Ovis aries: one gene and its partner. The protein of the gene in region 1 purifies or fractionates together with the protein of each later gene. This does not show direct contact. Links are inferred from orthologs where the notes say so. Each region holds a gene or a part of one and is shown on either strand. Other genes may lie near its edges.

The links. Proteins that work in one complex are often made in the same cells at the same time.
Region 2: the proteins of PHF19 (region 1) and RBBP7 purify together in Homo sapiens (affinity purification with mass spectrometry; 3 studies listed by BioGRID and IntAct, with this or other methods). This does not show direct contact. The link is inferred for Ovis aries from reciprocal best matches to the Homo sapiens genes PHF19 and RBBP7.

The regions. Positions count from the first base shown.
Region 1 is NC_056055.1:2,688,266-2,695,448, reverse strand, and holds part of PHF19 (PHD finger protein 19), read right to left. Parts: exon of another isoform or gene 6,218-7,183; intron 6,122-6,217; exon of another isoform or gene 6,103-6,121; intron 5,443-6,102; exon of another isoform or gene 5,349-5,442; intron 4,947-5,348; 5' UTR 4,932-4,946; coding exon 4,746-4,931; intron 4,097-4,745; coding exon 4,015-4,096; intron 530-4,014; coding exon 434-529; intron 1-433.
Region 2 is NC_056080.1:15,064,308-15,071,938, forward strand, and holds the start of RBBP7 (histone-binding protein RBBP7), read right to left. Parts: upstream 4,827-7,631; 5' UTR 4,560-4,826; coding exon 4,412-4,559; intron 4,138-4,411; coding exon 3,993-4,137; intron 1-3,992. UniProt on the Homo sapiens protein: Core histone-binding subunit that may target chromatin remodeling factors, histone acetyltransferases and histone deacetylases to their histone substrates in a manner that is regulated by nucleosomal DNA.

The sequences.
Region 1 (7,183 bases):
TGGTGAGTGCCCACCAGGGAGCAGCGGCCCCAGGTTGGGGAGGGCGGCAGCGAGTGCTGGGAGCCGTGTGCCTGCCAGCTGCCAGGGTACTTACTGGTTGGCACAGCAGCCAAGCTGGGGTCCAAGCAGGCCACTCAAAGCCAGCATGGGCCCAGTGCGGGAAGCATGCAAGGTCTGACTTCAGCCTCTGTGCTCCATCTCTGTTACCCATCCTCTCCACCCCTCGGAGCTCCAAAGCGCCTAACTTCTCTCACTTTGTAGAAGCCCCAGCTCTCCCCCAGGATCACCTCCCTGGGCCCCTATTCCCAGAGACTGGCCCCCTTGTCACTCTGCCCCGCCAAGAGAAAGAGGCCGCCAGCTGAGGCCCTGGGGATCGAGGATCGGGCGCAGAGCGGTCCCAAGCCAGAGGGGCCCCAGGTCTGGCCGCACTCACCCAGGCCGCACTTCCCACAGATGAGGATCTCGTTCAGGGGCCCCGACGTCTTCCCCAGGCAAATGTTGCACTTCGGCTCCTCCCCCGGCACACCGGCTGGAAGAAAGGGGCCCTGCGTGGTCAGCTTGGGTTCATGGGAATGACCGCTCCTGTGAATGACCCACGGTCTTAAGACCACAGTCCAGGCGCCGTGCCTCTGGGTCTCAGCGTTGGGCCCCAGAGGCCGACTCACTGAGCCTCTCCAACCACTCTGAGCTGCCTGTGACCAGCACCCCATTCTAAAGATGGGGAAAACTGAGGCTCAGAGCGGTTAAGTCCCTTGCTCAGCTAGAAACCAGGAGAAGGGGGATTCAAATCCACCGCTGTTTGACATCAACTTGTTTGATTTTCGTTTTGTTTTGGGCACACCTCAAGGCATGTAGGATCTTAGTTCCCCGGCCAAGGATTGAACCTACGTCCCCTGCATTAGAGACCCAGAGTGTTAACCACTGGACCACTAGGGAAGTCCCAAATAACTTTTTTTTTTTTTAGTATTTATTTATTTGGATATGCAGGGTCTTAGTTTCAGCATGAAGGATCTTTTAATACTCACTGTGGCAAGGGTTATTTTTTAGCTGAGGCATGTCAGATCCAGTTCCCCAACCAGGGGTTGAACCTGCGCCCCCTGCATTGGGAGCACAGAGTCTTAGCCACTGGGCCACCAGAGCAGTCCCCCAGATCATCGTTCTTTTGACAACAGCGTGCTGCCTCTCCTGCTTAATTTAGCTTGGTTTGTTACAGTTGTTTATGTTAAATAACTTTTAACCATTTATTATGGCATAATAAAATGTTATAACGAAACTCTGTGTTATCAACAGTCACGAATTCACAGCCAGTCTTGTTTTGACTATATTCCCACCCTCTACCCCTCCTGTTTTATTGTGAATCAAGCCCCAAATAGCCAATCATTTTCCATAAATATTTCAGTAGGCATCTCTGAAAGATTACTACTCTCTTAAAGAAAAAGAAAAAAGAACTAGTGCCTCCATGGAACCCAAATATTAAAAATAATTTCTTAATATCATCAACAAATTCAGCGTTCACATTTCTAATTGTCTCCATGGTCCATGACAATTTTAAGTTTGTTCAATCGTTTTAAATCTACAGGTTCCATCTCTCTTTTTTTTTTATCTTTGAAGTTTGATGTTGAAGAATAAACATGCGTTTATGTGTGTGAAGGTCATGTGTGTTTCAGTCTCATTAGGCTTCCCTGGCGGAGAAGGCGATGGCCCCCCACTCCAGTGCTCTTGCCTGGAAACTCCCATGGACGGAGGAGCCTGGTGGGCTGCAGTCCATGGGGTCGCTAAGAGTCGGACACGACTGAGCGACTTCACTTTCACTTTTCACTTTCATGCACTGGAGAAGGAAATGGCAACCCACTCCAGTGTTCTTGCCTGGAGAATCCCAGGGACGGGGAAGCCTGGTGGGCTGCCATCTATGGGGTTGCACACAGTCGGACACGACCGAAGTGACTTAGCAGCAGCAGCAGCAGGCTTCCCTGGTGGTTCAGTGGGTAAAGCGTCTGCCTACAATGCGGAAGACTCGGGTTCGATCCCTGCGTCAGGAAGATCCCCTGGAGAAGGAAATGGCAACCCACTCTAGTACTCTTGCCTGGAAAATCCCATGGACTGAGAAGCCTGGTAGGCTACAGTCCATGGGGTCGCAAAGAGTCAGACACCACTGAGGGACTTTCCTTTCCCTCAGCAGACGGAAAGTTCGGTAAGGACAGAAAAGGTATCTGTTCACCTGTGTCCCCAGGACCTCTGGTCGGTGTGGCACATCACACATGTTCAAAACATGTTTGTTGAATAAACAGTCTCTTGCCTCTTATTCCTGAATATGACCCCAGGAAAATAAAGCACTTACTTAAAAAATGAAAAGTTTGAATCTCAGAAATTCATGTAAAATCACATTCATATGATTAGAAAAGGAAATAAAAATAGGTTGGCTTATTATAGTACTTGTGTTACTTTCCATTCCTTTACTACTCATTAGATACTAAATGACCGTCTGCCAGTTGACAGCAGTTATATTTCTTAAGAGTACCAAGAGCACCGTGGTCTCAGCAAGTCTCCACTGGCTTAATGAAGCCATGGCTTAGGACCCGCAGAAGGCTCAGCCTTGTGCCCCCATCCTGGGTGAAAGCAGAGGGCCCCTGTCCTCCGTGAGGAGCAGTGATCTGGGAGCCACGCAGCTCCTCCGCTGAGCACTGCAGCACCTTCTTGGTGCCTGGCACACAGCGGGCCTTCCATTCACGGTTTGCTAAGGTGAACTGTCTTTCCTCATCAGCTGGCTGCTTCTGCTTTCGATAAGAAGGTAGCCCAGGAGAGGAGACCCTCATTGCTTTGGATCTTGAAACAGTACATTTAGGGTGAGAAGAGCCTGGAGAAGCATCAGCCTGCATTAGCCACAACATCTTGGAGAAGAAGGCAGCCTGGAAACTCTTCTAACTGGCTGGGTCCTGTGGTCTCTGCTTGGCAAGCTCCTGATATCATCTGTTATGGTAACAGATTCTTTAGAAACTGACTCCCTGCAACTCAACAGCACTGGTGGTGGTGTAGTTGCTAAGTCGTGTCCGACTCCGAGACCCCATGGACTGCAGCCCGCCAGGCCCCTCTGTCCATGGGATTTCCCAGGCAAGAACACCGGAGCGGGTTGCCATTCCCTTCTCCAGGGGACCATCCTGACCCAGGGATCAAACGCGTGTGGCCAGTGTCTCCTGCATTGCAAATGGATTCCTTACTGCTGAGCCATCAGGGAAGCCTGGTACAAGGACCAGGTCTTGTTTAAGGCCAGCTCCAAAACCTGCCTCTTCCTCACAGACCACCACGTCAGTCCTCCTGTTAGAGCGTAAATGGCAAAAAGGTCTGTTCTCACATGGTAACTCACTGGGAGCGGCTGCCTGGCGCTCCATGTTGAAAATGAGTGTTGTGATTGATCAGTGATGTCTGTCATGCACATGGCAGGGGAACATGCTGGCAAGAATGCCCCCAGTTTGTCATCTCTGTAAGACAGTGTCAGCCCTCTGAGGGCAGGGGTGAAACCCAACCCAGATCCCTTTCAGCCCTGGAAACGGGCCCAGCTCCATCCTGCTACGTCATCATCACGCTGCCTCCAGGCTTGGTGGGTCTCTCCCCCACAGAGATAGCTGCCTCCTAGTTTTTTAACATGCTGATAGAGGACACTGTGCTTACACCGAAAGGTTTCAATTCCGATTGCCTGGGCCCCTTCTGTTCCTAGCCCCAGAGGGACCCAGAGCTTTGGGCAGCCGGGAAATACACACAGGCCTGGGACCCAACCCTGCTCTCCCACCCCTCCTCAAGCTGCCTTCTCCATCCACCTGCCTCCTGCATGAGGGATGAATGCTAAAGAGGGTGACAGGTGTCATAAATGAGTTCTCATATAAATGTACAACTGGTAATCTCCAAGGACACGGCCAGATGCTGGAAGTTAAGAGACAGAAGGAGAGAAGGAAGAAAATGGAGGCAGGAGAGGAGAGTGGACCAGGGTGGGGTAGGGGTGAGGGGTCACAGGATACTCACCATGCTGTATGTCCTTCCATAAGACCCAGTATTTGGAATTATCTTCAAAAGTTACGAGGCAGCTCTGCTTAGAACTGCTGACCTGGAGCAGAGAGAGGGAGGAGCAGGGTGAGACAGTAGGTGGGGAAAAGCCACTGGAACACCGTCTTCCTCTCCCATCTCTGCCCCCACAGGGCACAGAGATCAGACTCCCTCCTTGTGCTCCAAGAATCCGCCTGCAATGCAGGAGACCTGGGTTCGATCCCTGGGTTGGGAAGAGCCCCTGGAGGAGGGCATGGCAACCCACTCCAGTATTCTGGCCTAGAGAATTCTATGGACTGGAATAGTCCATGGGGTCACAAAGAGTCACTCTGTGCTCCAAAAAGTAGAGCCAGGCCAGAAGGAGAATGGCGGTCCTGAAGGCTGTGCACGCCCACTCCCTGGAGTTGGGCATCGAGGTGCTCGGTGACGGCAACTTGGTGGGAATACCGAGGCCAAACGATCTCTCCAGCCTGATTTTGTTTTGTTTTGTCGGCTCACAGAGCACTTGTCTAAAGATGTCCTTAGGTGCCCTAAGGATGGCACCTGCTTTTGCAGGCTCTGCCTCCTTCCACTTTCAGCTTTGGAGCAGGAGGGCGCAGCAGGAATCTGACAGCAATCTCCCATCCTCCAGCCCTGGTCTGAGGCTGGGACCAGGGATGAGCAGAGAGATGCTAAGCCTGGGGAACTGGGGCCAGGGAGGAAGGGTTTACCCTCTTGATCTTCCCAAGATAATACAGTCCATCTGTCCACCGGCACAGCACATACTGGCCCTCCGTCAGCTTGGACATCAGGTCTTTGAAGTTGCTCTTGGCTTTTGCCAGGGACCCCTTGTTAGGGAGGTGGCTGTTGGCACCATAGGAGTCCCGAGTCCCTGGGTCCAGAGCTCGATTCTCCATCAGCTTCCACTGACACTGGAAGAGAAGGAACAGGATTCTTACTCCTTCCTTCAGGAGAGAGGGGAGGAAGGAAAGCAGCAACCATTCATGTAACCTGTGTGGTGCCAGATGCTTTTATCATCTCACTGGATGTTACTCCCATTTTACTGGATGTTATTCCCATTTTACAGGTCAGGAAACTAAAGTCTGGCAAGGGCAAGTGGCTCTGGGTTCAGAGGCAGAGCCATGGTCCTTAACCAGGTGAGCCGATTCTATACTCTGCATTTGCCCCACCCCTACCACGCAGCCTTGTACAGAGAACAACTCTTTCAACCAACCACAGAGCAAAATCCTCCTGCCCAGGTGTGTGTATGGGGGGGATCTGAACCATACCCCTTGGCTTTGGAGCCAGAGGTTTTATCCCTAAAGCAAACATACCCCGTGTTTTCTGAGTGGAGGGCCTTCTCCAGGAGAGCAGTGGGAGGTTTTCAGACCCCTGCTCCCTCTCCTGAGAGCTATGGAGAAAACTCACCTAGAAAGGAAAACTGATGGCTTATGAACTGGTATAGACTTGGCCATCTGTGTCTTCTGTAATCTCCTTTGCTGTTCTCAGTTATGGGATGATTTAACGGAAACCAATTCTGGGACATTTAAACTCACTTATGCTTTTACTCAGATGCAAATTGGCTCCAAGCAGTGAAGTCATCGCCATGCCAACCTCTCTACATCTGTCTCTCACCATCCTATGAAACCTACTGCTCCTGGTGCTTTCCCACTTCCTGCTAACAGTACTACTCTGGTCCCCAGAACAACCCAGCATCTTTGACTTCTCCAACCTATGAGTTGCCACAAGCAGCCAACTTCAAGCACAGTGATTTCTGGCTTCCTCTTGTCCATCTCCCTGGCCTGGTCTGAGTTCAAGCCTCATCTTGCCTGGGCCATTGATTTATTCATTCAATAACTGTTTCATGCTCACTCAGCTGCTGGGCACCTGGGACGCAGAATGGTACCACCTAGGCACAGCGCTAAACAGGCCACTCCCTGTCTTCCTGCCTCCCCACCAGACTCCTCTCCAGGGCCAACAATTTCCCATCTTCTTCTTCTCCCAGAAACCTCCTGTGGTTCCCCAAAGCCTTCAGTGGCATTCAAAGTCCCCCACCCCAAGGCCCTCTCCTCCTCAATCTGGGCTCACCTGGCTCCAGGCGGCTCCACACACTCTCCACTAAGCACAGCCCCCTCTGTTCCCTGCACCCACTGTTCCAGTCCCCTCCTCTGTCCAGGCGCTGGGCACCTGGTGTTATGATTACCTGTAGATTACAGGGAGACAGTCGTGTGTGTGTTTCCGTGTGAGTGCGTGTGTGCTCCTGTGAGGCGGTGTTTGATGTCTACAGCTCTGTGGCGGCGAGTAAAGGAAACGGAGCACATGCGTGTGCATGTCAAGGGCCCCGGGGCACGCAGGGCATTGCTGGGGTCTTCACTCTCCAGATGGTGGCGCGGCCGCATCCTCTTCCCTCCCCCCGCCCAACTCCTCCCTCCTCTCCAGGGCACAGCGCACAGGCGCCGGGCAGGGTGTGCGGTCCAAATCTCTGCCTTCTCCCTGCCACCTGGCTGCCGAGCGCTGCAAGGTCCTGCCCCGCCGGGCCTGGCCCGGGCCCGCGGCAGGTTCACAAACTGACACTTCCTCCCCCGCCGCGCCGTTGGGAGCAGGCCCAGTCGCCGCACCCCCCTCCCTGACCGGGCGGGGGCCCTCGGGTGGCGGGCCCCCCCTCCACCCGCGCCTTCATCCTCCCGGAGCGGGCCCCCGCGGGCTGTGATTGGCTGATTCAAACCCATCTGCAAAGAAATGCCTGTTTGCGGGTTCTCGTCGGCGTCCAGTTCAAATCCGCGGCCCCCGGAGCGCGGGGCCGGGCGGGGGCAGGAAGCAAGGATGATTCATGCGCCGGGGCCTCTCCCAGGGCGGCCGTTGGCTTTTTAAAAAGGGTGTTCGGGAGGGGAAAACGCTTGCAGAAGGACCCCCCTTCGGGTTCAAGCGCTCCGATCTTCAATCGCTCCGACGCCAGGCCTCCCCCCATCCCCATCCTGCTGCAGCCTGACTTCGGACGTGAGCAAAATCCCAAACGGCCCCATCGGTCTCCAGGCCCGTCCCCCCACCAAACAGGAAAAGTAAAGATTTGGGGCACGGGAACAGCGACCTGTCACACACGCCACCCCCCCCCCCAGAGGCTCGGGAACCCGGGCGGGGCTCCCGCCGCCCCGCAGACACCGTGCGCCCC
Region 2 (7,631 bases), on another chromosome or scaffold:
CTTTGTTACCCTATTCTATGGTAACTCCTTGTGGCTAAAGAAACCACTGATGACTCTTGGCACTTAATCCAAGTGATGATTTTGCATCTGTATCTATTAACAATGCGTTCCCATTTGTATTATTCAGAACAACTTTCACCTGTGTCCCATAGTTCCACATTAGTAAGGCAGGCTGAGAAGTAAGGCTCTGAGCCCCAACATTAAAAAAAAAACAAAACCCTAGACTGTTTCTAAATTCCAGCTGTACAAAGGATTCATTGGTTTAGAATAAAGGTTTGTGAATTACTTCCAGGCATATAATTTAGTAATAACTAAAAAATACAAGATTAAATTTTACCAAGATTGGGCTTAGGGTATGAAAGAGCAGTAAATACACAAAAACTCCAAGAACAGAATAAGGCAGCCATGGCTAAACAATAGGAGTTCATTTGAAAAAGAACATGGGGACTTCCCTAGTGGTCTAATGGCTAAGATGGTGCACTCTCAATGCAGGAGGCCCAAATTCCAGCCCTGGTCAGGGAATCAGATCCCATATGCCACAACTAAAGATCCCACAGACTGCAACAAAGATCAAAGATCCTGCAAGATCTGGCACAGTCAAATAAATAATAAATAAATAAATAAAATATTTTTAAAAATAAAAAAGTGAATCTATTTAAAAAATTAAGACATGGGTCTGAGTTGATGTGTGTTCAGTGGCCAAGAATACGATGTGGTTATAAAAAAATTAATTACTTTCATCTTACATGAATTTATATAGGGTAGGAAGAGGCAATACACATGGGCATTCATCTACTAATCTGTGACTGGGAAAACCACACTTAGAAAATTAGGCTCTAGGCAATGCATTTTAGAAGGACTTAGGCAAAAATGAAACTTTTACAGGGAATAGTGGCTTGAAGTGAAAGGGAACTTAAACATATCTCATGAGAACCATTTGAAAAGAAATAGGAATACTTGAGAGAAAGGAGGCACCAGCAATATCAGGGCTGACATAAAAGGAAGAAAAGTGACTTGTTTTTTATAGCGTTAAGTAGAAAAATTCTAAGACCTACAGGTAAAGTTACGGTCAAACACATCAGTTCATCATATGACCTTTTTAAGGAGTAGAATTACAACATGGACTAGAGGGTCTGAAAAGCTTCTTTTGACTCCAAAATTCAATTATTTCAGTTTCCTCTGACTCCATCATCGTATAAGGATTTTTCTTTTTACTACAAATTCTTTCATCACCATCATCGAAAAACAAGCCTACTTTTCCTCGCCCATCAATATTTCACTGCTTTCTTCAAATACTGGATGTACCTAAGGCTGCAGAAGCACTCGTTACAAAAGACCTTGTCCATTTTCAGTGCCAGAATTCTTTGACCACTTAAGGAAATTCACCTGACAATCACAGATTATCATCACAAGGTTATTCTTGGTAGGAATGCCTGAAATAGCCAAAGACTGAAAACAAATATCCATCAATAAGGAACTGGTGACACAAGTCACAGTATATCCACAAAGGAATTCTACCGAGCCCTTCATATATCTAAGCATGCTTATAGGAAAAAAGTCTCCAATACAAACTCTTAATTTAAAAAATCAAGTGAACAGAGACTTCCCTGGTGGTTCAGTGGTCAGAACTCCAAGCTTCCACTGCAGGGGTCACAGGTTCGATCTCTGGTTGGGGAACTAAGATCCAAAGTCAAGTCAACAACTTCCTAACAGAAAAAGAGGGCGGAGGGGCATAGCATGTACTTCTTCATGCCGGCAGGATGGATAAGAAATCACAAATGACTCTGCTCTGGGTAAGGCAACCAGAAGAACAGAGGATGTGGAAGGGGAACTTAGTCTTCACTCTATGCAGCTTTGTATCATCTGAATTTGAATGCATACATAGATTTTTAGGTAGAGCATATAAGTCTCAATATGTTTAAGAAATTATTCAATAAGACATATGAAGTAATGATCTACTGGTTTTGAAAAATAGTTTCTTAGAGATACCTAAATAAAAATTTAAAGAGCCAAATCAATTATTTGGATGATCACCTAACTGAATTTAAGAGCAACAGCTCAGAAAGTGCAAGTAATCATTTGGAAGCATGTTGTATGTATACAGAAGACCAGCCAGATGAGGTTGAGTAGGGCCTGCCTCTCAAAGTGCCAGGCTGTAAGAGTATCCAACATTTCTACTGTCCTACATAGTGATAAAACACAATCACAGTCCCTTCATAGTCCAAACAGAAACCTGCAAAGCACCACTCAGCCGTCTTCGACACACAAGAATGCAGGCTGGCTGGCATTTTGTTGCACTCCCAGAGCCACTGCCCATCCCACAACCAGATCCCACTTCTTTGTATGCAAAGAACCCCATGGAATATATAAAGTATTTTCTGTTAAGTTCCTAAGTGTTAATATAAAAGTAGTATCTGGGCTGAGAAAACACAGATTTATTATCTTTAAAGTGTTTTACACAAAAAACATAATAGGTAATGTGACTAAACAGCTTTCATTGAAATACAAATGGAAACAGAGCTATTCCACCCTAACAACTTATTTCTGAATAGGAAAGGGTGGGAGAACCACCATCAGTCACCACTTACTGTGTACTCACTCTGAGCCAGCATTTTAACATGTGTGATCTTATTCATTTCCTCAGATGTAGGCTGTAAGAACTTTCAGCATCTCCATTTACAGACCAGACTATTTCAGGATAGAGACTGATCAATTTGCCCTAATTCACAAAGCTAAGAAGCAAGGGGCAGGATTCAAATTCAGATCTCTAACCTTAAAGCCTGGGCTCTTTTCTACTGTCAAACATCAAAAAGATTCAAATTAAGTTGTTTAACTTAATCTGCTTAATAGGAAGACATAGTCAAATACCCGTGCTGCACTACATCAGAACCTCAATACCCTTAAGCATTTGATGGTCAAAGCTGTAAATGTCAACACTTAGAAGTCTCCATTATTTAGTTCTTGGCTCCTCTTCCCACATCTGTGTATTTACATTGAGATTTTTGAAAAGTCCACTAGAAGTCCCTAACCGTGTAGAAGTCAATGTTCTCATATGGAAAATCTGGCCACTATATGAGTTTTATACCAAAGTAATTTACTCTTATTTTTAAAAGTTGTTGCAAAACTTCTAGAGTTTAATAAATCCTCATTAAATGACATACACATAACAATCAAATTTAATACATTTTTAAAGTACATGGCCAGGTTCTTACTAGGAAAAGTGCAAGTGTATGAGAACCATAACCTAGTGCAGAGGTTGCCTCAACTCTGGGGCCACCTGGTTTGCATTCCAAAGCCCGCTCCACCACTTACCAGCTGTGTGATCTGGGGCATGTTACTTAACATCTCAGCCCATTTCCACATCGATTAAAAAGAAGAGGATAATAAAAAATAATTATTGTACTGTTGTATTAAATCTAATAGGACATAAAACTCTTCAGATGTGCTCAACAAATGTCAGCAATTATTACCAGAGAAATTTTACAAAGAGGTGAAGACCAAAAACAACCTCAAAATGTATCATATTATACCACCTTTTCGTTGGTGAACTGCTGCAAAACTGTTTTCTCCTTTGCCAATTAAAACGTATTCGTCTTGTGGGCTGGTTACAAAGAGGTATTCATTTTGCAAAAATTCATCAAGCCATACACTTATGATTCGTGCACTTTTCCCACTGAGTTTTAAAGAAATCCATTAGTTTGGGGTCCAAAGAAAACCCAGCGTCTACATTTAAGTTCAAGAAATGTCAAATGTATCTGGTGCATCCTACAAATATCCTTAATCTCAGAACAGATTCTCTGTCCGCTTTTAATTCCACATTTATACGTCAGAAACCACCCTGTAAGTCAGTTTTGAAAATAAAAATCACCTGCCACATCACCCAAAGGCTTAATCGATTACTTGTTTATGTTCTACGTATAAGACGCGAAAAACTAGGAGATTCATGTTAACAGCAAAATTTATGCAAAATAAGAGTTGACAAAAACCCTTACTTAGTCACTTCAGGAAGCCACTGAACGGTAAGACTCGGCCACTGAAGAGCATGGGTCATAACCAGGTCATACAGAAACGGTGTATTCTTCTTCCAGATTTTATATTCTTCATTGATGACACGCTCCTCCACAGTATCTTCAAACACTGAAATTTGGACAAATCCCATACGATTAAGTGTCTGAAAGGGATCGAAATCTATACTGGAGGTCACCTCGAGATGGCCACACCTTATCTCCTCTTTCTCTTAACCACTAAATTGGACACGACCAACTCACTGGTCTTCCAGAACGCGAGGAGAATATTAACACCAGGAAGCTTATTTTTTTGCAGTTTGAAATCAATACCGCCTGCGTATACAATATTGGGCAATTAATTACATAGATATCGCAATTGTTTTGCCGGTTACAGCTGTTCGCACCTGTTCCAAGATGACGACCCGTATGTAAAGGGGCTCCCCGACCCACCCGGCGAGACGAATCCACGTGTAGCAGAAACGCATCGGCCCGCTCCCCCCATCCCCCACCAGAAGAGGCCTCAGCTCCCACGAAACCCGAGCCGGCAGCCATAAGTCGGCGGGTTCCAGAATCCCCCGGACAAGGGCCGCGACCCCGAGGCGGTCGACGCGCGCGCGTGGAAGATGGTGCCGTGCCCGCTTTCCGGCGACGGAGGCCGCCTCCGCCCGGGTGCAGAGCAAGCGCCGCCGCCAGAGGGGGGTGACGCCGGGGGGTAGCGGGAAGGGGGCCCAACCGCGGCCCCGCGCCTGGCTCCGGAAGTGCTCGGAGCCCTTCGCGCCGCGGCCCCGTCCCGCGTAGGCCCCTCGAGGCGCGCGCCCTGCCTCGCGCCCGGCCCCGCCCCCTGCTCCTCACGCCAATTCGCGCCTTTCGCCGGCGCGTGCCGCGGCCTCGCACGCTCACCGCCCCCCGCCGCGCGCCGCCCCGCGGGGCCTCTTACTCTCTTTACTCGCCATCTTGCGTCGGGTCGTTCGCCCCTCGCCGCCGCCTCGGACTCCCCTTGCTAGCCAAGAGCAGCCCAACCACAAGCGCTCCTGCCTTTCCCAGGCGCGTCACACAGTTCTAGCTCTCGAAGCCTGAGCTCCGTCTTACAGCCTGGGAGCTCCCCAGACGCTGCGTCCTTCTCTGCTGCCTCCTCCCCGCTTGCGGGTACCGAGGTCTGAGGCGCTCTTCTCTCTCTCTCCAAACTTGGAACGAGACTTTTCAACCCGCGCCTCCCAGCCCGCCCAGGCAGCTGAGCGCAGGCGCATCCGCCCTGGGAAAAGTGAGAGGCGGTGGCTTGGGTGGGCCTCGGAGCCAACGGCTTCGTCTTTTTGACCAATGACTGGCGGCAGGCAGGTTTAACGCGGCGTTCGGAGGCGGGCTTTTGGGGGTGGGTGGGGCGTTCCGCGGCAGGAAGTTGGCGAGGCGCAGGCGCGAGGGCTCGCCTGGCGCTCCCAGGGCAGGCCGCGGGGGCGGATGGGGGCGCGAGGGGGTGGGGCGAAAGGAGGCGCGGCGTGCAAGCTGCGTGGGGGCTGCGAGCCCCGGGGCGGCGAGCCCTGGGGCCGCGGGACGTGGCTGCTTGCTGCGGCTTTGGCGGTGGGGGTGGGGGGCTGGGGGGCTGGGAGGCTGCTGCCGCTTAGCCAAGCAAAATCTCAGCGCTAGAGAGAAAAATGGTTTCTAGTCTCGAGAGACTACTGTGCCCTCAAAGTCTCCCTGACAGTCACGGACATGCATAAGTCTGTGCACTCTGAAAGTTCTCCCTCCAGCCGACTGGCCTTTTCTGGGGCCTGGTCGAGGCGAGGTGGGATTGTCGGAGGCAAAGGGGGCCTTTAGCAGAGGCCGCGGGCGTTTTCCGACTGTTCAAGCCGCTGGGCCTGCCTTGTAGGCTAAACCTGCGGCCTGTTCAAGCACAGGCCGCCAGCGCCCCGAGGCTGATTTGAGTTTCGTCTTTGTTAACAAATTCGAGTCTATAAGATGATATTTGAGCCCTGTCGTACTGCAGAGGATTTTGTTCCTGCATTGCCATTCTTGTATTCTTCCTAGCCTTGGGCCTTGCTGAGTCATTTGTAACCTGCGGGGGTCCCAGGGTGACCCCACCCTAGGCTGGCGAAGCTGGAAAGAACTGGGTAGAGCTGACCTGGGACCGGCTTGCCTGAGCCTTGCTTTGTCCTGGAACTTGGTAGCCCCTGAGGGGTACGCAGGGGTGAGGAGAAAGCAGGCTGCAAGGCCAAAAAGGAATGAAAATGAGGGCCAGGAGCAAAGGGGACGGGCTAGGGGGAGGTGGCCGAGGAGCCTAGCGCAAAGGCAACCTCAGTCTACATCCAGACTCTGAGAGGAGGCCCTCCCTGCAAAAGCACCCCTGCCCCAGAACACTTGCTGCTGTGCTATTTTCCAAGTGCCTTCTTGCAAGCGACGGTGGAGATTCTCAAAAGAAATCGGGCAGTTGCTGCTCTGATGCCCACTTTTCTGATCGGGAAATAAACCCAGGCATTCCGTGGCAGAACCACTCGTATTACCTTATATAGAAATTTACTGTCTGGTGTCTCTGGTTTCCGATATGATACAATTCATTATTATAACGCTCTCCCTTTCATGTCAGGCCCAGGAATGTTAGTGACTGAAGCTGGGGAAGGGAGGAGCGCTGGAGAGGGAAGAGGGTTGGAAGGGTGTTTAAACACAGCCCTCTTGTTCTAAAACACTGGTTGGTAAATGTTTTTTTTTTTTCTAAAAGGGGCCAGATAGTAAATATTTCAGTCTTTGGGGGCAAGTACTCGTCAGTGTTACAGCGAGAAAGCAGCCCTAGACAAGATGGGTGAACCTGGCTGTATTCCAATAAAACTTAATAGGCACTGAAATGTGAACTTCATATAACTTTCACGAGTCACAAAATGTTCTTTTGATTATTTTCAACCGCTTGAAAATGGAAAAAAAATTTTGAGCTCCTGGGCCCTACAAAAACTTGGTGGCAGGTTAGATTTAGATGGAGGACTGTAGTTTGCCCACCTTGTTCTAGAATAATTGAAGGCTTGGCAGCTGTTTTCCAGTCTCCCATTAATATATTTTACTTATTTTCTGATGGGTAGGCATGATTTCTAAAACCTATTAATGTTTAAAGAGTTGAAAGAAATCTTTCCAGATGATGATTTTAAAATCTTTATGCTGTCCACCTCACTAAGTGTCTGAGTAGGAAATACAGAACAGATTATTTTGGGAGTTTGTGAAAATATTTGGGTGCTATCATACACTTAATTCAAAAGTATCTGGTACAGCATACTCTGTTAGTTCTGGATTTTGTTGTTGTTAAATTGAATCTGCCAGTTTTATTTCTCCAGAATTTTTTGGTCTTTTTTCTGGCTAGGTACTTTTTTGCCTCAAAAATGTGATACCAGTTTTTCTCCCTTGAATTGCAAACTGTAATTTTTTTTTTTTAGAGTTTCTAGTGGCTCAGAGGATAAAGTGAATGTTTTTTTGCCTTTCATCCCACCTACTTAGCTCTGGTCCTAATCTTTTCTCTTACTTTCTCTGTGGTTGTCTTTTTGTCTCTCTTGCACTTAGCTAAGTCTACTAATCAAATAGGGAAGATCCTCTGGAGGAGAAAATGGCACATGGCAACCCATTCCTGTATTCTTGCCTGGAGAATCCCAT